Elephas maximus indicus: one gene and its partners. The protein of the gene in region 3 interacts with the protein of the main gene of each other region in a pairwise test. Links are inferred from orthologs where the notes say so. Each region holds a gene or a part of one and is shown on either strand. Other genes may lie near its edges. The genes, in order: SMARCE1, integrator complex subunit 6-like, CEP63 and HTT.

Region 1 (6,872 bases), on a different chromosome or scaffold from region 3:
TGGGTGAAAAAAATTACTTCACAACTATTCATTCTTTAGACATTTTGAAACTTATCAATTCCCAAAACAAAAAGATATTATTCATAAAGTGGAATAAAATAGCAGGATCTGACCCAGAGATTATAAAATCATTACTTGAACAGCTTGAAAATAAAGATTTACAATGAGTGCTATTGTAGAACTAGAAGCTTTATTGTTTGATTTAATACGAAAATTACGTATAGACAAAAGAGGAGAGAAAAATATAACCAATTGAAGGTTAGGTTTTAAAAAAAAAAAAAAGCCAGAATGAGCATTCACTCAATATCAACTTTAAAGACTCTTAATAATAAAGATTAATAAGGGAGAAGTGTTAAACTTGTCGCTTATTTCCCGTTTAGAAGAAAAAAAGTGAGCATAAGAGATCAGAATTTTGGTAGTATGTTTCTTTAAATGTTGGGGTTGGTTCCAGGTAAGATGCAAAGAGTTATTTTTCTATTTAGTAGGAAGTGCTGTTTTTTTAGCTGACTTTCTCATACTGTTGTTGTGTTGATTGAGTGACTGTCACTGGAAGACATCTGGGTTTTTGTATCAAGGCCAGACTTGGCTATTACATTAACAAGAAAATTAAAACTTACTGTTGCAGGAGCTGGGGTGGGAGGTGGGGCATAAGATGGTCTTTCTGTTTGAAAGAAAATAAATAACTTCTTGTAAACAACTGAGATATAACACTATGCAACAAAACTACCAATGGTCCTGTTTTGAAGAAAAAAATGAGAGTATTTTGGAATTCCCATTTGCTAGGGCATTAGTCTCTTATTAACATAGATTGATAAATATAAAAATGAAACTTACTTGACATTTTGGAAGATTTAAGTTCTCAGTTCCTTAAGAATGAATCTGAGACACTAAAATAAAAAAAAAAGAAAAAAAAAGAAAAAGAAAAAAAAAAAGAGAATCAAAACTCAGCAAGCATAAGAGAATGTTTTCCTAAAAAATAGGGTAGTTTAATTGGTATTTCAGAGTAAAATTAGTTCTCTTTATCTGCTAGTAATCAAGCCTTTTGTGTATCGTTTTTACTAGTTATTGTTGATCATTTGGTTGATCAGAGTTAAATGACTAAAGCAAATCACTAGGGACATTAAGAGTAATATTAGACATGTACCCTTAGGCTTTTTTTTTTTTTAATGACACTGAGCCACCTTTTGTATGGAAAACATTTTGCTGATGCTATGTAAACAATCTGATAAAAAGATGACAATAGAATGTGATGTATTATCTGGGCCCACCCCAACAAGGCCTAGCAGATACTGACAGCTTCCTTATCAGAGCTCTACCTTTGCTTAGGTAACAAACTTCCAATAAAATAGCACTGTATTTTATTCCTGGAGGCTGTGCAAAAGGTAATTGGTATGATAATGAGCTGTAGCATTCTCTCATAGTGGCAAATAGCTTCATAACTGCTGAGAATAAATTTTGAAAGTCTACCTGAAAAACTCTTATTCGTCCTTCAGAGCCATTTTCAAGATTTAACTCCTCAATGGAGCCTTCCAAGTAAGTTACCTGGGCAGAGTTAATTGCACCCTCCTCAGTATTCCTGGCAAATTTACATAAATCTCTGATATTGTTTATTCTATCTCACTTTTTATTTGTCAATATGACCAGATTATGTGCTGTTTGGGATTACCAGCTCACAACACAACCATATACATGTGGGCTGGTTCCTTACGTCAGTACACATCGCAAAGAGTAGAGTACAAAGAGACGAAAAGTTCATTTTTAGAAAAAAAAGGCAAATAAACTTCTATGTCTACTGGTGCACTTTCATCCAAACGTTATATTAAACAAACATGATTTTTTGGTCCTAGTTTGCATTTTAGGGGAATTCCCTAGAGTACAAGAAATAAGAGGCCTGATGTGGATGGAAATAGCTTATTCTATCAATGGCCCCTCCTGGCTCTCTCTCTTTCCTTAAAAAACAGGCAGAAACTATTGGTCCAGACTTCCCTCCTGCTCACATTCAGGGAGCTGTCAACACCCAGTAGGCCTTGTTCCGGGGAGCCCTAATGACAACTGCCACAAACTGCTTGTACATCACTTTATTGTTAATGCTTTGCAATTATTTATCTCCCCTACTAGGCTACAAATTTTAAGAGTGGGCTTGTACATTTGTTTGCCACTGGATTCAATCCCAGGGTCTGGCACGTAATACTCAGTATTTGTTGAATGAATGCCTCATAAGGGATAAGCTTATCATCTACGCTCTCCTGTTTAATAGCTACAACTACCTTACGAAACGTTCATTGCTATCCCTATTTTACAAATTAAAAAAAAAAAAAGGGACTCTTAGGGAATTTAGGTAACTTGTCAAAAGCCACACAGCCAGGAAGTACTCGAGTTGGGTTTCAAACCCAGGCCAAACTGTTTCAGAGCCTTCGCTCTTCACTCCAAGCCACACCGTAAATTACCACGTCGTTGCCTGGACCAAGAGGAACCACACTCCTGGGAGTGAGGACCAGGGGCACGGTTTGCTCCGAGAGCTTCCTGTGAAGTCGTTTCCTTTGTTTGTCGGGGAAAATGCACTTTACCAGCAACTCAACTAAAGGGGTGTATGCGTAAGTGCTCTGGTCAATTCCTGAGGGCTACTGGACAGGGCAAATGCTGCCGCTGAGGAGAACCCACAGACGGGACTCCTTACCAATCCTCACACCGCTAGGCCTCAGAGTGGACGCAACCGGCCCCACCTCTGGCTCCGCTGCCAAACCTAAACCCGGGTAACCCCTGGGAAGTCGGGGTCCAGCCAAGCGGGGACATCACAGCTCGCCACCCTCCCAACCCGGTCGGGCCCGCTCCAAAACACTCACCCGCGGGCAAGCAGAGCGCCCGCAGCTTCAGCTTCGCTTCCCTTTGTCCCGCACACGCCCCGCCCCTCGCGCGCCGAGCTTCCGTACTCGCACTTTCGACACTTCTTCGTAATTTACTTACAGACATCACCCGCTTTTCTCTACAGAAGTAAAGCTTCCATAGTGGGCTTGGTGATGTTTAGTATAATTCCTGATTTTTAAAGGCTTCACAGTTCCTCAAAAGTTCTCTAATTTGGGCACTTTCCCAGCCAGGCGCCGATTCGTCACTACGGAAAGGGCGGAGGCGGCTCGGCCGCGGGATAGGCCCGGATTTCGCTGCTGGGAGGAATCAAAGCGTCTGCAACGTCGGGTGACGCGGCGGGCGGTGCGAAGCCGTACTGAGAGGAGGCGGGGAACGTGGCTTCAGCTTAGTCGGAGGACCGCGGGAATCGCGACGGGGCGTGAGGCTCCGGAACCACCCGGCTGGGCTCAGGTAGCGCTCACTCCATAGGCTCTTCTTTTCTCTTGCTTCTTCGGCTAGAGTATATACTTACGCAAGCCGAGGATGGAGCCGGAGAGGACTCTGTTGACTGAGTTTTACGTCCTCACAGGCATTCTCGGGTCTTCCTGCCATAACGTCCGGGCATTAGCCTTGACGAAAAAGCGCTGCCTCTCATTTCCACGGAGTTTTTCAGTTTTCGTTTTCAAGCGCTTTTATGGTGTAATTGCTAGTTTTCTGAGACAAGACCCAGAGATGTTAAGCCCTTTGACGCAGCGCGCGGGGTGCCACTGGTCTCTGTGCCAAAGCGTGCCTTGGCTCATTTGGTTCCCTCCGCAGGGAACGACTGCCCCTCACTTCAGCTTAAACTCATTTGTTCTTCTCAATTCAGCTCAAATGGCTGTTCCTCATGCCGTCCTGGGCTCTCCCTCCAATAATCCTTCCTCTCTACTCCCATGGCACTTTGATAACTTCTTTACTGTAGTCCTGTACTCAGCCCATTGTATCAGGTTGTGTTTGTCAACTTCGATGCATTATGAGGGCCTTGAAAATAAAGATTCAGCCTTCTGTTTCGATCGTCTTTGTATTACCAGTGCAATATTGCTTGATCCGTTATTAAAAGCCGTTACTTTCGAGTTGATTCTGACTCTTAGCGACCCTATAGGACAGAGTAGAACTGCCCTGTAGAGTTTCCAAGGAGCGCCTGGTAGATCTGACCGCCGACCTCCTGGTTAGCGGCCGTAGCACTTAACCACTATGCCACCAGTGTTTCTGATCCGTTATTAGGTGCATAATAAATGTGTTTTGAAGCGGATTTATTAACTAGTCCTGGGCTTTTCCCACAAAATCATAATCACGAGTAAGTAGGTTTACCATGTGGAGTGAGCGGCCCCTTCCTTGGATATGTAAACACCTAGCTGATGTTGTGGGTCACTTTGGAGGAAGAAGGAACAAATGAGATCCCTAACTTGTTATTACTATGCTGACAACTAAATGACAATAGTGTTGACATTTAGAGTGACTGAATTTTTGGGCTGCTCTTCGGCCGTCCTGGGTGTGCCAGTAGGGAATGGGGTATCTCTACAAGGAGGCAAAGTCAATATTTTTGTACTCGTGAATGGGGATTAATGAAATTGAAGAGCATATTGATGGGAAAGATTAAAGGAAAGATTGCCAAAGGATAACAGGCAGTTCGAGTGGTGGTTAAAATAATGTACATGAAATTGTTGTTTTAATATAAAAGTATCAGAAACATGTAAAGGATTAATGTGAAATACAGGAAGGCCTCCTCAGGGATCCCGTACCTCTTTGGCTTTGTCAAGCAACTCTAGCCTGATTTCTGCACTGCCTTTAGGGTTATGGTTGGGGGGCGGGGGATTGGTCAAGTGTGTGCAAGGACACGTGGTCTATTGTGTCATCTCCAGGCAGTCCTCTGAAGAAAAACCACAGGTACAAGATATTAGGAAAACCACACTGTAATGGGAGAGTTGTGGCACAAAAATGATGAAAAGGGAAAGGTGAAGCAGTGACATTGACTGGTATGGTTTCTTACCTCCTTCTAGTCTTTATTCAGTCTGCCAACTTCTCAGAAGGTCTTTCCTGACCTATTTAAAATTGCAACTTGTAGAACAAAATAGGAGGACTCACACTTCCTGATTTTAAAACTTACTACAAAGCTACAATAATCAAAATGATGTGGTACTGGCTCAAGGGTAGACATATAGACCAATGGAATAGAGTTGAAAGTCTAAAAATAAACTCATGCATCCATGACCAAATGATTTTTGACAGAGTGCAAGTCTGTTTTTCAATGAAAAAAGAATAATCTCCTCAACAAATGGATTTCCACAAGCAAAAGAATAAAGTTGGACCCCTGCCGCTTACCATATTCAAAAATTAACTCAAAAAGGGATCAACGTCCAAATTGTGAGTGCTAAAACCATAGAACTCTTAGAAGAAACATAGGGGTAAATCTTCAAGACCTTGTATTTGACAGCGAATTCTTAGATATGATAACAAAAGCATGAGCTATAAAAGAGTAAAGTAGAAGAATAGATAAGTTGGACTTGATCAAGATAAAAAAACTTTTGCACATCCAAAGACATCAAGAAGATACTACGCATCAATAAAGAACAGTGAGGAATCTGTGAAACATTTCATAACATGGAGGAACCTGGAAGGCATTATGCTGAGTAAAATTAGTCAGTTGCAAAGGGACAAATATTGTATAAGACCACTGTTATAAGAACTTGAGAAGTAGTTTAAACTGAGAAGAAAACATTCTTTTGTGGTTACAAGAGGGGGAGGGAGGGAGGGTGGGAGAGGTGCATTCACCGATTAGATAGTAGATAAGAACTACTTTAGGTGAAGGGAAAGACAGCACACAATACAGGGGAGGTCAGCACAATCAGGCTAAACCAAAAGCAAAGAAGTTTCCTGAATAAACTGAATGCTTCGAAGGCCAGCGTAGCAGGGGCAGGGGTCTGGGGACTATGGTTTCAGGGGACATCTAAGTCAATTGGCATAATAAAACCTATTAAGAAAACATTCTGCATCCCAGTTTGAAGAGTGGCGTCTGGGGTCTTAAACACTAGCAAGCAGCCATATAAGATGCATCAATTGGTCTCAACCCACCTGGATCAAAGGAGAATGAAGAACACCAAGGACACAAGGCCATTACAAGCCCAAGAGACAGAAAGGGCCACATGAACCAGAGACTACATCAGCCTGAGACCAGAAGAACTAGATGGTGCCTGGCTACAACCGATGACTTCCCTGACAGGGAACACAACAGAGAACCCCTGAGGGAGCAGGAGAGCAGTGGGATGCAGACCCCAAATTCTCATAAGATCAGACTTAATGGTCTGACTGAGACTAGAAGGACCCCGGTGGTCATGGCCCCCAGACCTTCTGTTGGCCCAGGACAGGAACCATTCCCGAAGCCAACTCTTCAGACATGGATTGGACTGGACAATGGGTTGGAGAGGGATGCTGGTGAGGAGACAGCTTCTTGGATCAGGTGGACACTTGAGACTATGTTGGCATCTCCTGCCTGGAGGGGAGATGAGAGGGTGGAGGGGGTTAGAAGCTGGTGAAATGGACACGAAAAGAGAGAGCGGAGGGAGAGAGCAGGCTGTCTTATTGGGGGAGAGTAATTGGGAGTGTGTAGCAAGGCATATATGTGTTTTTGTGTAAGAGACTGACTTGATCTGTAAACTTTCGCTTAAAGCACAATAAAAATTAGAAAAAGACATCAAGAAAGTGAGAAGACAACCTATAGAATGGGAAACATTTGGAAATCATATATCTGATAAGGGTTTAATGTTCAGAATATATAAGCAATTACAACTCAACAGTAAAAGGACAAACAGTCCAATGAAAAAATGAGCAAAGGACTTGAACAGATATTTCACCAACAACCAACGAAGATATAAGTGGCCAATAACCACATGAAAAGATGCTTAACATCATTAGTCATTAGGGAATTGCAAATCAAAACCACAATGAGGTATACTACTTCATATCCACTACGATGGCTCTTATTTAAAAAA
Region 2 (7,243 bases), on a different chromosome or scaffold from region 3:
AACCCTATCTAACATCACTGATGGAAGGACCTCAGAATCCTAATAAAGAGTGAAGTTTTAAGTGGGAACTAAGACGCCTGCTGACAATTGAAGAAAGACCTATCTGATAACCAGTGTGACAGAAAACAGACATTTATGGCTCCAAGCTATTAGTAAGTGAAAGACTAGACTAAGTTTTAAGAAAAATTCACCAGATGTTCTAAAATTTCAAACCTTCCAAACTAGCTAGACCCCAAATGTAAAAGAACAAATAGTTACCACATGCTGCGGGGAGGGGTGGGGGTGAGCAGGGGGGAGCGGTCAAAAGAGCCTCAGAAAAAGAAAATGTTCCGGAAACATGGCCTACCATTAGCAAAATGACAAGAACATAATGAAAATCATAAACCATTTCCTAGTACATGTAGTTATCATATAAGATTAAAATGAAAAACCTGAATAACCTTGGAAAAGCATAGACTACAAAGATAACTGATTATTAATGATAAAACCATTATGCAAAGTATCTTCCCATGTCTGACCTACATATGAAAAAAAATCAAATTCAATTTGGAAGAATTTTTTTGCTTTAACAAATGTAGTAGATAAGATAAAAAAAAAAATGACAAGATAAAAAGTTAATGGATGAAATTTGCACTAAAAACAAAACCCAGCTTTTCCCCCTCTGCTCATAGAATGATCTGGAGCCTTTAAAATACCATAGATAACTTACACAGTAAAAATTTTAAGTATGAAGACTATGTGGCAACCCAGAAAAATTCATAGGATAAAATAGGTGGAAAAAGCAGAATACAAAGTAAAATGTACAGTTTATTTTTTGTGTGTGTGATTATGATGCCATGTAAAAAGAAGCTTTGACAGTGGTTATTAAAGTGAGGTGAGACTTCTTTTTCAAGGATTCTGCAAATATTGCCATTTAAGTTTTATAGAATAAAAGTATTTTTAAAGAAAGAAAAAAGCCCATCTACAATCTGGGCACTCAGAAAATGTTAAATAGTTGTTGCTTTAAAGAAAAAAGAAAGGCACACTTCTTTGTAGTTTATTCTTTTTACTACTTAAAATCAAAGAGCAAGACTTCAATTATCCACACTAGAAATGGTGGGTTCTTATCTGTGCTAGTAGTCAAAGGGTGTAGACCTTCAGACTTAGGACATGCAAACATCTGCTCTTCTATGCGGGGAAAAAAAATGGTCACACCCTTGGGGAAAACTGACATTTTTAAAGGCTTATGGAATTTTGGAAGATGTCACTTTTACTCCCATTTTTCTAAATAGAAAAATTAAAAACCGGTAACAATGCAATGAAGCCAGAACACTTTTAAGGAGGAACGTATTAATCAAACTGTTAACCGAAGCCACACGTTACAAAATTAACCTCCCTTGAGTCTTCTTTCTGAAGGAACACTCTCTAAGGCCAACTCTTCAGTTTGGCAGATTCCAATCATTAAAACACCTCATTCTGCTGAAGCGGCTTACAACACATCCAGACTGCGCCCCCTCAGCACTATTAAGATAATTCTGAGAAAAAAACATGCCTAGCAAAGGGCGTCAAGGATTATGGTAGTAATATTTTTAAAGTTCAAACATTCAAGCAGGACTCTGATGCCAGGTTGATCTTATTTGCGCTCTATTTGACCTGGCCACCACAGGCAAAGCCATTCATCTCCTCACTATAGGAACATAAATTGTTAACGACCCCACAGAAGTGAAGTCCCCCCTACTTTTCTCCTGCAGGTCAGAACCCTGGGAAGCAAATCATGGAATGTGCCAGTAAGAACTGTGCACAGTCCAACCCTCCCTCTCTTTCTTTTTCCCAGGACAACCCCCCACGTGGCTAACACAAACTCCATTACGATATAAGTAGGTAGGCCAGGTCCCTAAAATGCTCAGTCCGGGTGGATTCTGACTGGCATCCCGCCCCCACCCCATCGTGGCTCCGCTGGAATCGCCAATGAAACAGTAGCAGTAACTAGGGTAACTGGACAAATTCCAGAGAAGCAACGGAAGGCGTTTCTCCGGGTCTGGGCGTGGGGAGGCTTGCAGGGCGGACAGAATTGCCATTGGGTGGGGGTGGGCTGGAGGCGACAGAAGTGAAAAAGCAGCCTTGGTGAAGGCCGGTGGCCCGGCTGCCACGCTCTCAGCAGGAAGAGGAGGGAGCAGGAGGAAGGGGGGAGAAGGAGACTAAGAAGCCGAGAAGAGCGGGAGGTGGCGGAGGAGGGGAGGCAGGGGCGGGGCGGGGCGGGGGCGGAGCTAAGGCCCCTGGAAAGCCCGCGCGCAGCGCCACCAGCCGCCAGGGGCGGAGCCGCGCGCTAGTCCCGCCCCTGGGCGCAGCGCGTGCGGAGCGCGCCCGGGGCTGGGCCGCCTCGCCGCCGCCCTCCCTCCCGCCTCCTTCCCTCCCTCCCTCTCAGCACCGTCCTCAGTCTTCCTCTCGCCGCCTCATACAAAAGCAAAATGTCCGCCATCTTCCGCGGCTGCGGCGCTCACCGCTGCTCCTAACCCGGCCCGCCTGCGGCTTCCCCGCGGGGCCGCCCACCCGGCCCCACCCCACCCGCGCCGCCGCGACTCGGAAGCCGGCGCCGCTCCGCCCGCCCTGGGCGCGCCCCCGCGGCCCCCGGGCGACGCAGGACCGCCGCGGGCGGGGGACGGGGGTAAGCTGCCCCGCCGACCTGCCCCCTCCGCGCCCACCCACCCAGAGGGCCCCTTTACCTTGATGCAGTACGGGGGCTCATCGTAGGTGACCAGCATGTACCTGTCTCCGCGACTGGCCGGGTCGCGGGCGCGCAGCTGCGGAGCAGAGATGACGGAGGGCAGCGCAGGGAAGAGGGAGGGGGCGACACGGACGTTACAGAAGCACCTGAATCCGACCCATCCCTGGGGGCTCTCCCTGCCTCTCCCCTCCCCTCCCTTTACCTTCAGGAATAACTCCACAGCGCCTTTGGCAACGTCCAGATAGGAGGTGCCCAGGTCAGTGCGCTGGTTCATAGAGGCGGACGTGTCTATGAGGAAGAGCAGGATGGGCATCTTCCTTGGCACCCCTGGCTCCGGCTCCCCGCTCGCCTGGCCCTCTGGTCCTCACTGCCCTGCTGCACGACCCAAGCCCTCAACTCTCGCCGAGCCAGGGAGCAAGAAGCAGAGGGGGAGACGGTCCGGGGCAGATGGGACTGCTGCCGTTCTCTGCAGCCCCACTGTCCCCTCCCTCCCAGGGAACTTGAGAGTGGAAGCTTGTGTAGCCCTGGGGCCCTCCCCCTTCCTCTCTCCTGCCACCACTACTGCCGCCACCGCCGCTGCCAGGACCACTGCCCGAGCATCCGTCCTCGCTCACTCGAGTGCTCCTCCAGACTGAGAGCCCTCTCTGTTCGCCGCCACACAACTTCTGTCCGCTCACCTACCATGGGCACCATGTGACCAGGACCCGCGCCATTGGCTGCCAATTATGTGAGATTTGCATATTCATTAGATGACAGAACAAGGGGAGGGACTTGGGCGAACCCTGGGAGTTGAAGTTTGAACCTAGGCAGGAGGTAAGGGGAAAAGTTAAGGACCCTCGCTAGGATACTCCTTTATAGGACTTGGAAGCTGTTACGATGATTAATTCGGGTATTTGGGATGGAATTTCTCTTGCTCTTCAAAGATGATGGTGCGAAAGGAAGAGAGAGTTTGAGCAACAGTTGTACACAAGTACAGAAGCAGATGGTTGCACAGGCTGCACAGAAAACGCTTTGCTAACTGCACTCGATGATCAGTCGTGCCAGTGGCTAAGATCAAAACATTTCAGAAGCTGCAAACTTCTTTCCTGGCAAGACCTACTCACTCGCATTCCTTTAGTTCCCACCCCTGCCCCCATCAGTATTTGTAGTCTGCTGCTGGCCTCACATTCCACATATATCTACTTAGGAAGGAAACTTTTTTAAGTTTAAACACAGTTGCCTAAACCAGCCTGTTGTATGCACAGCCTTCTTCAGTTTCATTGAGCGCTTTGAAGTACTGCCTGCCTGTGATAATTCCACTAGCTGCTGGGTCTACACACAGGAGGTTTGTCAACCTAGATTCTGATTCAACTCATATTTATTGAGCACCTATGAAGTGTCAGGCACCCACAGTAACCTCATGTAATCTTTGAAATGGGTACGCTAGATGGCATTGTGTTCAATTTTCAGTAAAGGAATCTGCAGCCCAGCGAGGTTACGGTAACAATGAAGGATGCTCTCAGGTCTGGCTCTGGCGAGATGCTCAGTCAGTGGCAGAATACGCTTCCTTGGCTGTATGTAACACAGTTTTTAATTATGGAGGTGTGTATTCCTAGCAGTACGCTGTGTACAACACGTAAGCCTGGGCTTCAATAAATTCAATAAATATATGTACACATAAATACCCAGTGTATGTGTGTGTGTGTGTGTATATATATATATATATATATATATATATATATATATATATATATATATATATATAGCCCTGGTGGCACAGTGGTTGAGACCTATGGCTGCTAACCAAAAGATCGGTGGTTTGAATTCACCAGCCGCTCCTTGGAAACTCTACGGGGGCAGTCCTACTCTGTCCCATAGGATCACTATGAGTCAGAATCGACTCTACAGCAATGGGTTTATATATATATAGGACAGGGTAGAACTTCTCCATAGGGTTTCCAAGGCTGTAATCTTTCTGGGAGCAGATTGCCAGGTCTTTTCTCCTGTGGAGCCACTGGTGAGTTCTAACTACCCACCTTTCAGTGAGCAGAAGAATGCTTAACTACTGTGTACCTACCAGGGCTTCTTCCATATATACATATACATATATATATACACACACACACACACACATATATATATACACATACACACACACACAACACACACATTCTGTTTTTTGTTCCATATGTTACACATACGTATAGCTCTGGTGGCACAGTGGTTAAAGTGTTCAGCTGCTAACCAAAAGGTCAGCAGTTCAAACCCACGAGCTGCTCCAAGGGAGAAAGATGTGGCAGTCTGCTTCCATAAAGATTTATAGCTTTAGCAATCCTGTGGGGGCAGTTCTACTTTCTAGACGCCATGTTAAAAATTATATATAATAGATTTTTTTAAACCCTCCAAGGTGAATACTACTAAAATAATTTTCAAAAACAATTTACCAGTATTCCACCACCACTGCCAGTTGTTGATCCCAACTCATGCTGACCCCAAATGTGTCAGAATCAAATTGCACACCATAGGTTTTTTTGTTGTTGTTGAAAATATATGCAGCAAAACATATACCAGTTCAGCAGTTTCTGCATGTACCATTCAGTGACACTGATGACATTCTTCGAGTTGTGCAACCATTCCCACCCTCCTTTTCTGAGTTGGTCCTCCCCCATTAACATAAACTCACTGCCCCCTAAGCTTCCTGTCTAATCTCCACAGGGTTTTCAGTGGCTGATTTTTCGGAAGTAGATGGCCAGGCTTTTTTTCTGAGGCACCTCTGGGTAGACGTGAACTGCCAGACTTTCCGTTAGCAGCCAAGCATGTTAAATGGTGCACCATCCAGGGACTCTTATCAGCGTTAGGGAAGCACAAATGGTTTCAGTCACGCAGTGCCCCAGTGGTTAAGGACATGCAGGTCCTCCAGGATGGCCCTCTGGGGAAAAGATACTCTCTCTATGCAGGTGAATGCTTTTTTATGTATTTATTTATTTTCTTATCAGGGCATGTTATTGACTCTTTTTTGGCATAACTCAAATGGAATTGTAATGATATAAATATAGAATCTGAAAAATATCCGTGCCTCATTTGAAACTACAAAAGCGACAGTATACATAAACCATAACCATTTAGTCGATTTGTAGACTGATTCCAATTAAACCAAAGCCCAGATCCTCAACATAAAACCTCTCTTCTTCGTTTCCTGGAGGAAAGTAGACCCTGTATTATGCCCGAGTGTGCGCAGACCTCTTTATTACAGGGTTTTTTTTTTTTTTTTTGGCACAAGTAACACTAAAATCCCCAGAGCCTTTTCTACATCTTTCTCTGCTGTAAAACATCAGCTACCTTGTGTTATAGGTTATTCATGGCTTGGCTTTGTCTCTCATACTAGAATGGAAACTCCTTGAGAGCAGGCAGAGCCTACAACCTACGCCTGATACAAAGTACATGCTCAATAAAAGATTGTTGAACAAGATTGTTGACTAGGCTGTGGCTTTCATCCTTTCATTGTCTTCCCAGGTGCTCAGACATCGCCTGTAGCTCCTCTCCTCCAGTTCATCAGCCTTGCTTGTTGCTCCCTGCCTGACAGCTCCCACCCAAGCGGAGTGGGAGGTCCAGCTCCCCATCCTTGTGGCCTTCCAGGTTTGGGCCCCAGTCCGCCATCAGGCCAAGCCCTCGACCTGATACCCGCCTCCCGAGCTGACGCAGCTCCCCTTTTGTTCTATTCATGCTTCCTTGTGAAGCAGCTCTTCTTTGAGCCACTGCTCACTGTTTGTCTCTCTCAGCTAAATCCTCTTCCCAGCTGCTCCCAAATTTCAGGCCTGTTTCCACTGTCAGGCCACTGGCCAGTTGATGGAATTCTTTTTCCATTGCAGCACTATGACCTGCACTAACCATCCTGTCTTTCCAGTTTTCTCATGCTTTTTGAACTCATGGATTCTTGAAAATACTTTCCTCTTTCCTCATGTCTCTGCTCTTTATCTGCTTTTATTTCTCTTTAATACCTCACCATACTCCCCCATTCCAGACCTTTCCACCTCAGGTCTGGGGCTACAAGACATATCTCAGGAAGGCATTCCTACCAGGCACCGCTCTCCAGGCCTTCATTCCCTTCAGAACAAATGTTAGCATACTTGGCCCCATGTTTACATTTTATGTATGTAGCCCACAACCAGACAGCAGACGCTTTGCTTTGGAGGGGGCAGGGCTTAGCTACTTGCCACTCACCAAAGATTTGCTATCTTTTGCCGGTAAGTGAACCCTCATTACCACATCTTGACAAAATGACCTTACTTAACCTACTCACGACCCCTTCCCAGCCCCAGCCTTTCATGGCTCCCAGGGGAGTATAAGCTCACTGTCTGGTTTCTCCAGCACCCACTTCTTCCTCAAGCGCCTGCAATCTGGTTTGTTTCCCCAGCACTCCATGGAAACTGCTCTGAGGTCCCCAGTGGCCTGCTCCTGGCCAAATCCCATGGTCTGTTCTATATTTTCCTTTGTTGACTGAGGAGCTATATGTCACTTGCCCTCCTGAGGCCCCCCGCTCACTTTGTCTTTCAAAGCCTG
Region 3 (6,906 bases):
CTGCACAATAGCCCAAACACTGGGGCAATAATTACACAGGTTGGGGTAGGGCAAGTTTTTTACTCTTGTAAGGATCCAGGCAAAACTGTGAAGCAAAAGGTGCCCAGCTATCTTTGCCACCAGTAAACTAGTTTAGGAAGATCGTAATATTTCACTTAAGAATTACTCCACTATACCGACAATGTCAATCAAGTTGAAAGAGCCTGTGTTTAGGAAATTTACACACAAGGCTTTTTCACTTTCGGTTCCAGTTATACCTGTGGAGTTGCTGTCCTCCAAGGGCGCTCCTTTGTCCTGCTACCACTCCCTTTGTCCTTTCTGCTCTGTTCCCTTCCCCCATGCCCCCCTCACTTTTCTCCACTGATTCAAACCTGCAGATTTTTCCAGGCCCACACAGATTTCACCATTCCTAAAATTTTCTGAAATCACTAGAGTTTTAGTTAATTTCTGTTCTTGCTTTTTGTCATTACGATCCACTAACCAAGTCAGGGCAGCATTGTGGCCCACTGATTAAAAAAATATTATCTCCAATTGTTATATATATAAATTTGGTTATTAATGACTCTTTGGCATACCTTTCCCCAATTTTGTTTCTATCGCTTTTCACCTGTTCCTCTCTCAAACACCTCCAATCCTGTCACACCTCCCAGCCCTTGCACTTATAGCCGCCCTTTCCCTATCACTAACTCCTACTTTTTTCCCCAATCTGGCACTGGATTCAACACCCCATTCCTGGGGTTAGGTGGCTTCACGATTAATGGACTGGAGAAGTGGGAAGCATCAATATAAGCATGTCTAAGACAAGCGGAAGGTGCCCTGGTGCCACAGTGGTTAAAGTGCTCGGCTGCTAACCCAAACGTCATTGAAACCAATGACGAACCCACAAGCCACTTAGGGAGAAAAATGTGGCAGTCTGCTCCCTAAAGAAACCCTGGATGCCTAGTAGTGGTTAAGTGCTACGGCTGCTAACCAAAGGGTCGGCACTTCGAATCTGCCAGGCGCTCCTTGGAAACTCTATGGGGCAGCTCTACTCGGTCTTATAGGGTCCTATGAGTCGGAATCGACTCGACGGCAGTGGGTTTGGTTTTGGTCTGCTCCCTAAAGATTACAGCCTTAGAAACTCTATGGGGCAGTTCTACTCTATCCTACAGAATCGCTGTAAGTCGGAGCGAACTGGAGGCAGTGGGTTTTTGGTATTAGGACACGGCCACTGTCCCAAGCACTCACCACACTCGACCGAATACACTTGGAATTTACTAAACAAACTTTTCTCTCCCACGCCTTTGTGCCTACACATGTGTTAGCCCTAACGCCTGGGGTGCTCTTTTCTCTCATCTCGGCTAAACCTCCATCTAAAAGATCAGCTCCAGGTAAGCCTCCTGCCGACGGTTTTCTCCCAGCCTGAGGAGAGCGCGACGCCCAACCCTCCGCGGGTCCTAGCGTCTCCCGGCGCATGGAGCGGCCACACTACGGGCTCGTTACGTGTCTTCCCAGAAGGGCGGCGCGCGTTCCCTGAAACACGGACACGTTTTACCCATCTCTCCTTCACGGCCCTGAGAACGTATTTACAGAATCAAGCAGAACGATCTTTCCTTCGCCAGAACCGTCCTCGCGGGTCACCACCGTCTACACCCCTGTGCGTGTGGCCGCTCCACAGCCGCGGCTTCCGGCCTGGGGCTGCACAGACCGAATACGGAGGCCGGGAGGGGGTCCCCCGCCGCCCGGACGCGCCTTTTCGCCCCACGAGGCGTGCGGTGCGGGCGGTAACTCCCAGGGAGAGAGGTAAGGTCACCGACTTCGGCCAACGGCAGACGGGGAGGAGACCCAACACAAAGAGCGAAGGCCTCCTCGCCCTCCCCAGACCTGGGCCGGGAGCGCGGGAAGCTCTCCCCAGCACCCAGCCCACCGCGGCCTCGCTTCCGCCGAGCACGCCCCTCTCGCGCGTTCCCGGATGTGGGTGAGCCCATTTGCGCGCGCAGAGGGGAGGTCCTGAAAGGACACTGTTTCAAGGAAGAGTGAGGGGGGAGTGGGCGGAACGAACGTGCTAACGACAGAGCCGGGACGTAGGGCTGGTGGGGACGCGCGTGCGCGTCCCCGGCCCGAGGTAACGGCGGGAAGGGTCGGGGGCGCGCTCGCGGTACCCCGGTAACCGCCTGTGCGCTTGGCGCAGCGGGTGAGGGGCGGGCTCGTTCGGAGGGCGACCTGGCTGCAGTGGTGCCGCCGGCCGCGGGGCCGCATGGCCCGGTCCCCGCCGCCGCCGCCCGCAAGCCGCCAAGCCCGTCTCGGCGCCCCTCCGCCCCCCGCCCCTCGGCTATGCTGCGCGCTTCCTGCCGGCCTGTGAAGGCGGACGTAGCGGCGCCTGGCGCGCGTTCCGGGCCCGCCAGGTGGTCAGCCTTGCTGGAGCCCGGCGGCGGGGAGGGGTGCTTCGGGGAGCAGTCGGGTGGGCGGGCCGCTGGCAGTCCGCTCTTCGTGGCAAAGGCTCCCGCGCGCTCTCCTCCTTACGGTGCTGGTCCCTCAGCACAACCCCTTACCTAGGCTGCTGGATAGGGGCGCATTGACCGGTAAGCAAGGTACACACGGGTTCACTTGTGTTTACTTCTCTGGAGTGCACAATTTCACCTGGCCCGTAGGTGAATAAGCACAAATTAATAATAAGCACAAGTAAGCCCGTGCGTGCCTTGTTTATTGGACAATCTGTCCCTGCTGCTGGATCTGGTTAGAATTTTCTAGCATTGTTGCTGATTTATTGCAGGTAGTACCGGCTCATGAATGGTTGGGTGGTTAACAATTTTAAAAAAGCGAATTCGTTTAAAAAATGCTAATATTTAGTACAGGAAGTACGAGGATGTGGCAAAATTCGGGAAGGACTGAAGTTGGGGAACCCTGAACTGATTGCTCCATGCGTGCAAGTCAGGACTGGGAACCACGTAAGAGTGGGTTAAAAACGGCGATTCCTTAGAAACACTTTAATCCTGAAAATAGAGACAGTAAATCTAGCTCGTGATGGGGTTTTTCTTGTGTCCCTGTAACATCAGGAGAGAAATATAAGGCTGTCAGAGACTAGTCTTTTTTTGTAATTAACAGTGCAGTACACTTCCATAAAGTAGTTTCCCCTGAGCACTTAGTTTTTGCGTCTGATTCCCTAAACCGATTTTTAAAGAAAGCTACTTTATTTCTTTAATAAAGCGATATTGTAGATTCCCATATTTGTACAGGTCCTTATAAATGCTCATGTTAGCATTTAGTTTTTATTTCATAGAGATGAAGAAAAAAACAATCCATTTTGGTGGAGTCAATCCCAACTCAGCGACCATATAGGATAGTAAAACTGCCTCACAGTTTCCAAGGAGCTTCAAACTTAAAACCTTTTGGTTAGCAGCTGAGCTCTTAACCACTGTGCCACCAAGGCTGTAGATGAAGAGGAAATCATGATAATGATCATCAACTACACTTTACCTTCAAATATTTACGTTTATACTTAAACCAAAACAAAACAAAAAAATGATCCAGTTCATCCCGACCCATGGCGACCTCATGTGTGTCAGAGTAGAACTGTTCTCTGCAGGATTTTCAATGGTTTATTTTTCAGAAGCAGGTTGCCAGGCCTTTTTTCTGAGGTGCGTCTGGATGGACTTGAGCCTCCAAACTTTCGGTTAGCAACCCAGCACATTAACCTTTGCACCACCCAGAGATTCCATACACTTAATAGCTAGAGCTTAATGATACAATAAAAAGTATATCTTTTCTTATGTGGAATACAATACTGTCTTTAATTTTTATCCTGAATTCAGAAGGTTTGAAAAAATTATTCATTCTTATAAATTTCCATTTGTTTCTCAAACTTGCTTGCTGCTTGCCTTTTGACTATGTCATTATCAGAGATAGGTATAATTTTAAAAAAGGCTTTAAACTAAAATGGATTAGAGATTTATAAACATTTGGATTGACACTGCCATTTAAAATGATGTAAATTCAGATGTAAAAAATTTGTGATAAGTATATATATTAATTGTACTGATGCCATTTTCCTCCACTTAAGAGGTAGAAGCCCTTAGCCTTATGGTGAGTAGTCCACTCTCTCATTAGATCATTCCTTTTTTTTCCAATGTTGACTTGTTCTGCCAAAGCCAATTATGACATAAGGTTTCAGGAATTGAATTTCTGATTTTTATGTTACTTACGGGTTTTTCCCTCCAAGAACAGAGGTTTCTTTTTTCGGTTTTACAAAACCATGATACTGTCATCACACCTACAAAATTAATAATTCTATAATGTCAATATCCAGGCAGGGTTCAGATTTCACCAACCATCCCATAAATGTCTTTACAGTTCGCTTGTTTGGATGAAAGTCTTGTAAAGATCTACCCACATGTTACATTTGGTTGATATACTTTTTAAGTCTGTTACAATCTTAGTAATTTGCTTTTCTCTTTCCCCTTTTTTCATTGCCATCTAGATTTAGCTGGTTGTAGCTATGTGGTATCCTTTAACTTGTACCTCTGTTATTTCTGCTAAACCATTAGATATAGAACTGCACTGTCCAATATGGTAACCACCAGCCAACTGTGGCTATTTAGATTAATTAAAATTAAAAATTTATTTCATTAGCTGCATTAGCCACATTTTAAGCCCAGTCGCCCATAATTTCCGTAATTGCATAAAGCTCTGTTGAAGAGCACTTACCTATAAGCTTGATCATATTCACCCTTGATTTTTTTCTTTTTTTGATGAGTGGGGGCAAGAATATTTTATAGGTGCTGCAGTGTACTTGCTATTGTATCATTGTCGGGGGGCAGGTAGTGTCTGAGTGGTCTCTTTTTGTGAACAGTGGGTTCAGGTGTTGTTAGCCCAATCCATTCATCATAAAAGCTCCTATGAGCGGTTCACCTGTTGGTAAAATACTTTTGTGGGTTAGATTTACTGTATCCATTATTGCGGTATTTTCTGTCAAGTTGATTCTGACTCATAGTAATCCTATAGGACAGAGTAGAACTGCCCCATAGGGCTTCCAAGGCTGTAATCTTTACAGAAGCAGACTGCCACATCTTTCTTCCATGGAGTAGTTGGTGGGTTCAAACTGCAGGCCCTTCAGTAAGTAGCCGAGCATTTAACCAACGCACCGCTAGGGCTCCTAATCATTGCATTGTTGTTGTTAGGTGCCATCCAGTCCTTCTAACTCATAGCGACCCTATGTACAACAGAACAAAACACTGTCTGATCCTATTATTATTGCATTAAAAAAAAAACCAAACCTGTTGCCATCGAGTCGATTTCGACTGATGGTGACCCTACAGGACAGGGTACAACTGCCCCATCAGAGTTTCCAGGGAATGCCTGGCGGATTCAAACTGCCGACCTTTTGGTTAGCAGCCATAGCACTTAACCGCTACGCCACCAAATTATTGCATTAGGGTTTGCAAAATGGTGATTTTGCAATTTTTTCATTATTTCTGTATTTATTAGGTGGAAATCTTTTATGAAGGATGACTTTCCCTCATCAGCTATTTGATTATCCTGACATACAGTTTGTACAGGAAAGGCGAGAAAAATGCTTACCTCTTTCCCTCTATTTTCAGACTACAGTAATGAGTCGGTGCCCTAGCAACTTCCAAAGGTAACCATGCAGGTTTTTGCTTTTTTTAATTTTTTATCATCATATACTCATAGATTTGAATATATTTTAACTGTTTTGACCTATTGGAATCATTGTTCTTTTCTTTGATAGTCAAATTGTACTATCTTTAACTAGCAGAAGTCCTTTTAAGTTGGCTCTTGTTCTTTTTGACATGACTCCAGTAGTCTCTGATAATTTTCTTGCTTCCTAGTAAAACATATTCCTGGTCATCTATACATTTCTGGCCTCCAAGGAGCCCTGGTTCCTTTTAGGTGGTCATTGGTTCTACGATTTACAGTAGCCAGAGCTAAAAGAGAAATGTACAGAGTTCACAATGACATTTCCAGTTTAATATTATAGATTTTTTTTTTAAATCATGTGTTTGATTTTATATTTGTATCTTTTTCTCTTGCTGAAAATCTTGGTACCTAATGTCATTAAATATTTCTTTTTTGCCTTATCCTATAATTATGTAATGGTTTCAAATTAACAATACCAATTATTGTTATTATTCATATTCATATAATTCATATAATTATATTATTATTCATATAATTCCCAAGTGGTGTTTAGGATTTCTTTGCAGTTCTTTTTTATCCTTAGTTTTTACTCCACTAGGGATATGTGCAATAAAATTATTTTATTAAAGGCATATGAAATAATTTAAATGGCAGGCTGCCAACTTGATATTTAGTTGATTCACTTATTTCATTTTGTTTCCAGCCTTTCAGTATTGCTTTTTAAAAATTTTGATTGGTTTTGTTATATGTAAAGCATTAATGTAGCTCCTATAAAACAAACCAAAAAAAAAAAAAAAAAACTCTTGCCACCTCGTGGGTTCCAGCTAATGGCAGCCCCCTGTGTTACAGAATAGAACTGTTCCATAGGGTTTTTGTTGCCTGTAATCTGCATGAAAGCAGATTGCAGGGCTTTTCTTCTGTGGTGCTGTTAGGTGGGTTGGACCACCAACCTTTAGGCTAGCAGTCGAGTACATACTGTTTGTGCCATTTGGGGACCTTCCTATAAAACAAAAAACAAGTCCCTGTAAAATAAGGTACATCCAGAGAAGTATAGCTTTCATCCTTGTTGCCTCCACCCTACTTGTTTTCCCTCCTGTGAGTAATCATTTTTAGCAGTTTTAGGCTTATCTTTCCATAAAAAACAAATATACCTAGAAGCAAATATATATAAAAGATAGTACTTACATGTACTCTTGCATCTTGCTTTTTTCACCTGTATGTCTTGCCATTATGTTTTTTAACTGCCACCGAGTCAGTACCTGACTCATGTCC
Region 4 (7,320 bases), on a different chromosome or scaffold from region 3:
AGAGATTTTTCAGCTGAAGCATCTAAACAGAAATGCCAAGATCCAAACTTGTGAGCAGCGAGTTTGTTAACTGAAAATTAATCACTATTCTCTTCAACAGCAAGATACATTAGAAGTAGGGTCTTTACTTACTTTATTTACAGTAATTATAACTAAACCCTATGGCAGCTGATTTCAGAGCATGCTAAGAGCCTTTAAGTTTCTATTCTAAAACACTTGCTTTAAGAAAATTTAAGGTCTAAACATTTTCACTGATTATATCTGCAAGGATACAGAAAAAACTTTAAGAGTAGTTGCCTTCGGGGATGATGTTAGGTACTTAGGAGAAAGGAGTGGGAGGGAGATATTTTAATTATTACCCTTTTGTAATTGTGGAATTTGTTAATCATCTTAATGTATTACTTATACAAAAATAATAGATTAGATTTTTAAAATAAATCAATCACACATTACCTTAAAATAATGAAACAAAATCTACCTACTTTGTCAAGCCAGCCTGAGAAGGAAACCTCTGTTACCCATATTTTGAAGATAAGCAAATTCATGTCCTGTCAAGTCAGCATAAGAAAGAGAAGGCGTCTGTTTAGACTGACCAAGTGTTTGAACAAGCCACCAGTGGACAACAGCGAGGTCTTCCTCCCCATCCCTCCCCATCGAGGACCCTGCCTAGTGCTTCCCGCTTTTACACAAGATACACACATATGCGGACGTGTGACTATAAATTATGTGCTGCAGAGATAAGCCAAACTGTCAAAAAGTTTCTCTGGATATTCAAACAGGTTTTAAGGAAAAAAATAATTTCTTTCTTTCTAAATTTTATTCTAACAATTAATCCAACATAACCTCCCTGAATCCTCATTATCTAATTAAACTCTCAGGACACACAGCAAAGATCATACAAGAAATATAAAGAACAAGTTACTAAAAATGAATCAGTCTTAACACAGTAAGACTCCTCAAGGGGCTGATTCCTGAAAACTCTTTCCTGTTGACTGCTATCTTGTACACACCAAGATCAGAAATAAAACACCTGGAGGTGAGAGAGAAGCTTGAACTGCAGCATGCTGTTGTTGTGTGCTGTATCACGAGGGCTCCTTGAAAATTGCAGCACCCATAACCCACTGCCCTCGAGTCAATTCAGACTCATAGTGACCCTGCGGGACTACTGGTCCACAGGGCTTCCAAGGGCGACCTTTTTTTGGCTTAGCAGCCGTAGCTTACTGTAGCTCTTAACCCCTACTGAACACTCAGCACAGACACTTCCAGGAAAAGCCCTTGAGTCCTATCAGAAGGTGCTATTAATGGTCTGAGAAGCTCTGCCGGCACAGTGCTTAAGGCTCTGCTGCTAACTCAGCGGTTGGCAGTTTGAACCCCCCAGCCGCTCTGAGGGAGAGAGACATGGCAGTTTGCTTCCGTAAAGATGTGCAGCCTTGGGAACCCTATGGGGCAGTTCTATGCTGTCCTATACTATGAGTCAGAATCTGATTCAACTGCCAATGGATTTGGGTTTATCAATGGTCTTTTTGTTTGAAAAATTCTCCCCAGGCACAGGCAGCGGAGATCCCTGCCTATCTAAGAGTAACAGAATGTCAGCAACGAAACAAAACAGCAGCTCGTTTACTGGCACCCCTGAGATGTCCCTGGGGTCCACACACACCCCACGTTTTAACAAGCTTGACTAGGATACTGGCAAAATGTACCCCTCATTCATCTCCCAGCAATCCGTCTCTCCCTGGGCAATGTGTCCTCCTTGTCCCCGAAGGAGACCATCAACTTTCCCTAATATTTAAGTCGGCTTTATTAGTTCCCACTGGTTAACGACAACCACCTAAGCAACTCATCTCTTCCTCCGCAATCGCGACTTGCTCAAATTCCTGCAGACCAACACCTGAGCTTACGTCGGCGGGTCTCTTACGTGACGCTTAAAAAAACGTTACTACCACTACGATTCATGAAGCAAATGCAATGCCTGGAGAATCTGGGAATACGGTCTCAAGTCACAGGCTGTTTAAAGTGCCACTTGGGAGAGCACTCTCCATTGGACGGCGTCCTCAGGCCCCTGCCCCCCCCAACCACTCCCGCCTAGACGTCCTAAACCATTATGTCATCCACTGTCCCCACATCACTCCAGCGCCAATTCCGGGCTCCCCTCGAGGTGCCCTGCGCCCCCAGCCCTCCTCCCTCTCGGACTAGCGGAGAGGAAGGGAAGCGGCCTGGAGGAAGCCAAACGGGACGTGGTCTCTAACTCCTCTAAGTTCCCTTCCTGACACACTTAAGACATCACCCCTACCCCCGTTTTTTGCAAATAAAAAGAAACAAGTTCTTTTCCTAACTCTCATCACCTAGGGAAGGCCAGAGCCTGGGGCCGTGACTTCCCTCGGTGGCTTCAGGAGGGGCCCCAGCGAGTCTCCACGTCCCCTCGCAGAAGGACGGAGACCCCAGAGAGGGGGCCCCGGGGGAGCAGGGGCTGCGGGCCCGCTGCCGGAGCTGGGCTCTCCCAGCAGGAGGGGGCAGGTGCCAACCTCCCGGGGGCTGCGAGGCCGCCACTCTCGCCGCGCGCGGGGCGGCCCAGACCGCAGGGACGCCGCTCCCCGAGCCGTCGCCCGAGGTCCCGCCCCGGGAAGAGAGGCTGCAGGGGCCCCGCGCTCCGAGCCGGGCCCGGCACTCACGGTCGGTGCAGCGGCTCCTCGGCCACGGCCGGGCCGGGCGGCGGCGGCGGGGGCGGGGGCGGCGGCGGCGGCTGCGTCTGCAGCTGAGGAGGCTGAGGCGGCGGAGGCTGCTGCTGTTGCTGCTGCTGCTGCTGCTGCTGGAAGGACTTGAGAGACTCGAAAGCCTTCATCAGCTTTTCCAGGGTCGCCATGGCGGCCTCCCGTCCGGCCGGGGCAACTCCCGGAGCCCTGGGCCCGACTCGCGGCGACGCGACGCCGCTCAGCAGCGGGGCAATGAATGGGGCCCGGGGCCGCAGCCAAAAGCGGAACCGGGGCGCTCGGCCATTTTAGAACTGTCCCGGCAGCCCCCGCGCCTCCCTACGTACCGAGACGCTCCGCGGCGGAGGCGGGGCCACGCCGGCTGGCGGGATTGACAGCCCGCGGCGACGGCTTCTGCCAATGGCCGGCCGAGGCGGCGGCCCGCCCACAGCGCCGCAGGCACGCAGCCTCGAGAGCTCCGGCCACGAGACCCAGCGCCGCGCCCCGCAAAGGCGCGGGGCGGGGCGTGCGGGAAGGGGCGGGGACGGGGCGGGGCGCGGCGGGCAGGGGGTGGGGGGAGGGGGCGGGGAGTGTTGGGAGGTGAATGGAGACAGGCGGCAGTGAATGAAGGAGGGAGGCGGAGCGCGGAGGAAAGGGCGGGACGAGAGAGAAAAAAACGAGGGGAGGGGGCGGGGCTAAGTCGGGGGGCGGGGCGCAACCAGGAGTACGGAACGTCGATGGGGCGGGGGCGGGGCCGGGGAGAGGGCGGGGCCGGGCTGGGGGGCGGGTCCGGTTGGGTAGGGGCGGGGCCGAGCCGGGGGCGGGGCATGGCTGAGGGCGGGAAGGACGGGGCCAGTCCGGGTAGGGGCTGGGCCGAGCCGGGGCGGGGCCTGTCTGGGGGCGGGGGTCAGGGCGGGGCAGAGCAGGGGCGGGGCCGGCTGGGGAGAGGGCGGGGCCGACTCGGGGGCGGGGCTTTCCGGAAGGGGCGGGCCCGGGCCCGGACGGAAGCAGACAGGAGACCAGCGGCCGGGGCGGTTCTGATCCGCCCTGACACGGCGCGGTCTGGCCGCCCGGCTCGCGAACAGGGGCTCCCGGACCGTGGCGCCGACCCTCTTGGGCGAAGCTCCAGCCCACGAGCGCCGTGCCGGGAGCCTGGCGAACGTGCGCCCTTTGCATCCTCAGCCGCCCGCCGTGGCTCCGAGAGGCAGCAGTGCTGCGGGTGGGAGCGGGCCGGGAGGGCGCCGGGGCACCGGGCTGCAGCTGCCCGTTCTCCGCTCGCCGGTTCCGGCTCTAGCTGCCGGACGAAGGTGGGACGAACGGGGCGTCGGAAAACAAACAATATTCTTAGGCAATGTTTAAGAAAATCGAAATTAATGCAAAAAACCCATCGGGAACAAAATATCCGAATACACAGTAGTGCCATTACTGAGTTTTCCCCTTGCCACGGGCTCCTGCATGGCCGGCCGGGGGCGCTGTTCCCCGGGCTCAGCCTCGCCGGCCGCTCTGCTCACCTGGGGAGCCGCCCCCTCGGCCCCGCGCAGGAAGGCGCCCCCGACGACTGGCGGCGCAGCGAGAGCGGCTGTGGCTGGGAGGTCCGTGCGCCCCACGTTGGCAGGTGATCGGCGCACTCGCTGGCCAGGCCCCGGTCATTCCCCTGCCGGGAGGAACGGGGAACAGCTGCATAGAAAACTGATTATGGTCGGTGGCTACTGAGGACCCGAGAGATCTGCCTTTCAGGGGTGAGGAGCCCAGGTGCCCCCCGTCCCCTAAAGCAGAGGCCCTGGCAGGGCAGGCGCCACAGCAGCTGGGCACCTTCCAGGACTCCCACCATGGGCGGAAGGAGGGGAGAGCGGGCCTGCAGCAGGTACAGGTGGGTAAAGTGGTAAAGCTACTCAGTCAACGGTGCTGCTCAGAGGCTGTGGCTGGTGCAGTGAGAAGCCCCTGGAACAGGTATATCAGGGCACCGCAGAGATGCCCCTACAGGAATGACCCCCACCCCCACCCAAGGGGCACCCCCTCCACAGCGGGTGGAGGTCGCTGCTCTCTCCAGTGTTGGTCTATGAGACACCTACTCATGCTGAGGGTGGTGATGGCTGGTGCTGGAGGGTCCTGGCTCCAGGGACTCCTTATCTCCTGGGGAGGTAGCTGAGCTTGCACAGGGAGGGAGTAGGAGGGCAGCTCTTCCCACCTGGCCACAGGGAGCCCCTCAGGGAGAGCAAGGTACAGCCAACCCAAGCCTTCACACTCAGATGCCTTCACACCTGCTCTCGGTGTTCCCTCTTCTGTGGCCACAAGCCACAGCCCCACCCTCTCCCAGAGCCTGTCAAGCATCCCAAAGTGTTCAGGTAAATGGAAACCCAGTAACAGGACAGGAAGCCTTGTTCCCAAGGGACAGCAATGGCCTCCCCTTCCTGGGGTAAGGACAGCAGAGAAACAAGAGGCCAAACTTCAGTCCCTGTTCCCTGAGACTAATAAAGGCCCTGTCCACTGTGTCAGGTGGGGTACCAGCTCCCACCCAGGGCAGGGCATGATGTGTTACTTGCTGGGGGAGGACGACTTCCAAGATAGCCTCAATGACCCCCAACTGCTAGGATTCACGCCCTTGTGTGCTCCCCTCCCATAAGTGCGGGCTGGACCTGGCAGTTACTGTTCCCCAATATGGCAAATGTGATAGGAGGTCACTCCGGCGATTTGGTCATGAAGATGGTGACTTCCATCTTGCTGGCACTCTATTACGTTCTCAGCTTGCACATTTTGATGAAGTAAGAGGCCATGTCGGAGAGGCCCAGGTGGCAAGGAACTGAGGGTGGCCTCCAGTCAACAGCCGATGGAGAAGTGAGTCCTGCCAACCCCACATGAGTTGGGAAGTGGATCCTTCCCATCGAGCTTCCAGGTGGGAAGCAGCATGTGAGAGACCAAGGAACAGAGGACCTGGTTAAGTGGTGCCCGGATCCCCAGCCCTCAGGAACATGAGACAATGCCTGTGTTGTTTAAGCCACCATGTCGGGGGTGATCTGTTACGGCAATAGATAAGTCAGACAGTTTCCTCCTAATAACTACTCTGACCTTCTTTAGTCATAAAAAACAGTAACAACAAAATAGTTGCCGTCAAAGTGGACTCTGACTCATGCTGACGCCACGCGTGTCAGAGCAGAAGCGTGCTCTAGCGGACTCTGACTCATGCTGACCCCACACGTGTCAGAGCAGAAGCGTGCTCTAGTGGACTCTGACTCATGCTGACCCCACGCGTGTCAGAGCAGAAGCATGCTCTACAGGGTTTTCAGTGGCTAATTTTTGCGAAGTAAGTTGACAGGCCTTCCTTCTGAGGAGCCTCTGAGTGGACCTGGACGTTTTGGTTAGCATCTGAGTACATAACTCTTTGAGCCACTCAGGGCCTCTCAACTTGTTGCCATTGCCGGCGAGGTGCTTCTGATTGAGAACAACCCTGTAGGACAGAGTAGAACTGCCTCCACAGGGATTCCAAAGCTGTAATCTATATGGAAACAGAACATCACATCTCTCCCCCGCGGAGTAGCTGGTGGGTTCGAACCTCTAAACTAGCAGCCAGGTGATCAACCACTACGCCACCAGGACTCCTTGCGGGGACTCCAGGACCTCGAGTTTTAGCTGAGCACTTTGACACTTAGCTAAAATACATTTCCCATTTTTCCTTTCAGCCATGTGACTAAATAAATTCCGCCAAGGAGATGAAAACAGAAGCAATGGGTGCTATTCTAGAAAGTCTCCGTAAAAGGGCGGGGTACACCCATCTTGAAGGGACCCCGGTAGCACAATGATTAAGCAGTCAGCTGCTAATCGAAAGGTCGGTGGTTCTAACCCATCAGCCGCTCCACAGGAGAAAAATGTGTCAGTCTGCTTCCATAAAGATTACAGCCTAGGAATCCTTATGGGGCAGTTCTACTCGGTCCTATAGGGTTGCTGTGAGTCGGAATCGACTTGACGGCAACCACCACCACCCATCTTGGAGTCCCTGGGTGGTGCAAACGTTGAACATGCTTGGCTGCTACCCAAAAGGCTGGAGGTTTGAGCTCACCCAGAAACACGTCAGAAGAAAGGCCTGGCGATCTACTTCCAAAAGATCACAGCCACTGAAAACTCTACAGCGCACTCTCTGCTCTCACACGCTGGGGGCGCCCATCTTCTCGCTGCCCAGGGATGAGGAGATATGGGTTGGCAACTGAGCAGCCACTTTTTTATTGTGCTTTAGATGAAGGTTTACAGAGCAAATTAATTTCTCATCAACCAACTATTACACATATTGTTTTGTGACGTTAGTTACCAACTTTGCAATGTGTCAGCACTGTCCCCTTCTCCACCCTGGGTTCCCCATTTCCATTCATCCAGCTTTTCTGTCCCCTTCTGCCTTCTCATCCTTGCCCCTAGGCTGGTGTGCCCACTTAGTCTCGTAGACATGGTTGAGCTACATGTATTACTGTTTGTTCTATGGGCCTGTCTAATCCTTGGCTGGTGAACTTCAGGAGTGACTTCGGTACAGAGTCATGTCCAGGGGCCATACTCTCAGGGTTTCTCCAGTCTCTGTCAGGCCAGTAGGTCTGATCTGTTTTTGTGAGTTAGAATTTTGTTCTACATTTTTCTCCAGCTCTGTCCAGAA

What was found.
Region 1: the proteins of CEP63 (region 3) and SMARCE1 interact in binary tests that used the Homo sapiens proteins (3 or more experiments, as listed by UniProt). The two-hybrid records come from large-scale screens. The link is inferred for Elephas maximus indicus from reciprocal best matches to the Homo sapiens genes CEP63 and SMARCE1.
Region 2: the proteins of CEP63 (region 3) and integrator complex subunit 6-like interact in a two-hybrid assay, tested with the Homo sapiens proteins (2 studies listed by BioGRID and IntAct). The link is inferred for Elephas maximus indicus from reciprocal best matches to the Homo sapiens genes CEP63 and INTS6L.
Region 4: the proteins of CEP63 (region 3) and HTT interact in binary tests that used the Homo sapiens proteins (3 or more experiments, as listed by UniProt). The link is inferred for Elephas maximus indicus from reciprocal best matches to the Homo sapiens genes CEP63 and HTT.

The regions. Positions count from the first base shown.
Region 1 is NC_064837.1:47,751,757-47,758,628, forward strand, and holds the start of SMARCE1 (SWI/SNF-related matrix-associated actin-dependent regulator of chromatin subfamily E member 1), read right to left. Parts: upstream 3,026-6,872; 5' UTR 2,971-3,025; coding exon 2,844-2,970; intron 888-2,843; exon of another isoform or gene 842-887; coding exon of another isoform or gene 835-841; intron 662-834; coding exon 618-661; intron 1-617. UniProt on the Homo sapiens protein: Involved in transcriptional activation and repression of select genes by chromatin remodeling (alteration of DNA-nucleosome topology).
Region 2 is NC_064846.1:20,183,387-20,190,629, forward strand, and holds the start of integrator complex subunit 6-like, read right to left. Parts: upstream 3,018-7,243; coding exon 2,907-3,017; coding exon of another isoform or gene 2,781-2,906; coding exon 2,703-2,780; intron 1-2,702.
Region 3 is NC_064844.1:45,036,907-45,043,812, reverse strand, and holds the start of CEP63 (centrosomal protein of 63 kDa), read left to right. Parts: upstream 1-3,885; 5' UTR 3,886-5,483; coding exon 5,484-5,614; intron 5,615-6,906. UniProt on the Homo sapiens protein: Required for normal spindle assembly.
Region 4 is NC_064823.1:162,026,951-162,034,270, reverse strand, and holds the start of HTT (huntingtin), read right to left. Parts: upstream 3,026-7,320; 5' UTR 2,861-3,025; coding exon 2,670-2,860; intron 1-2,669.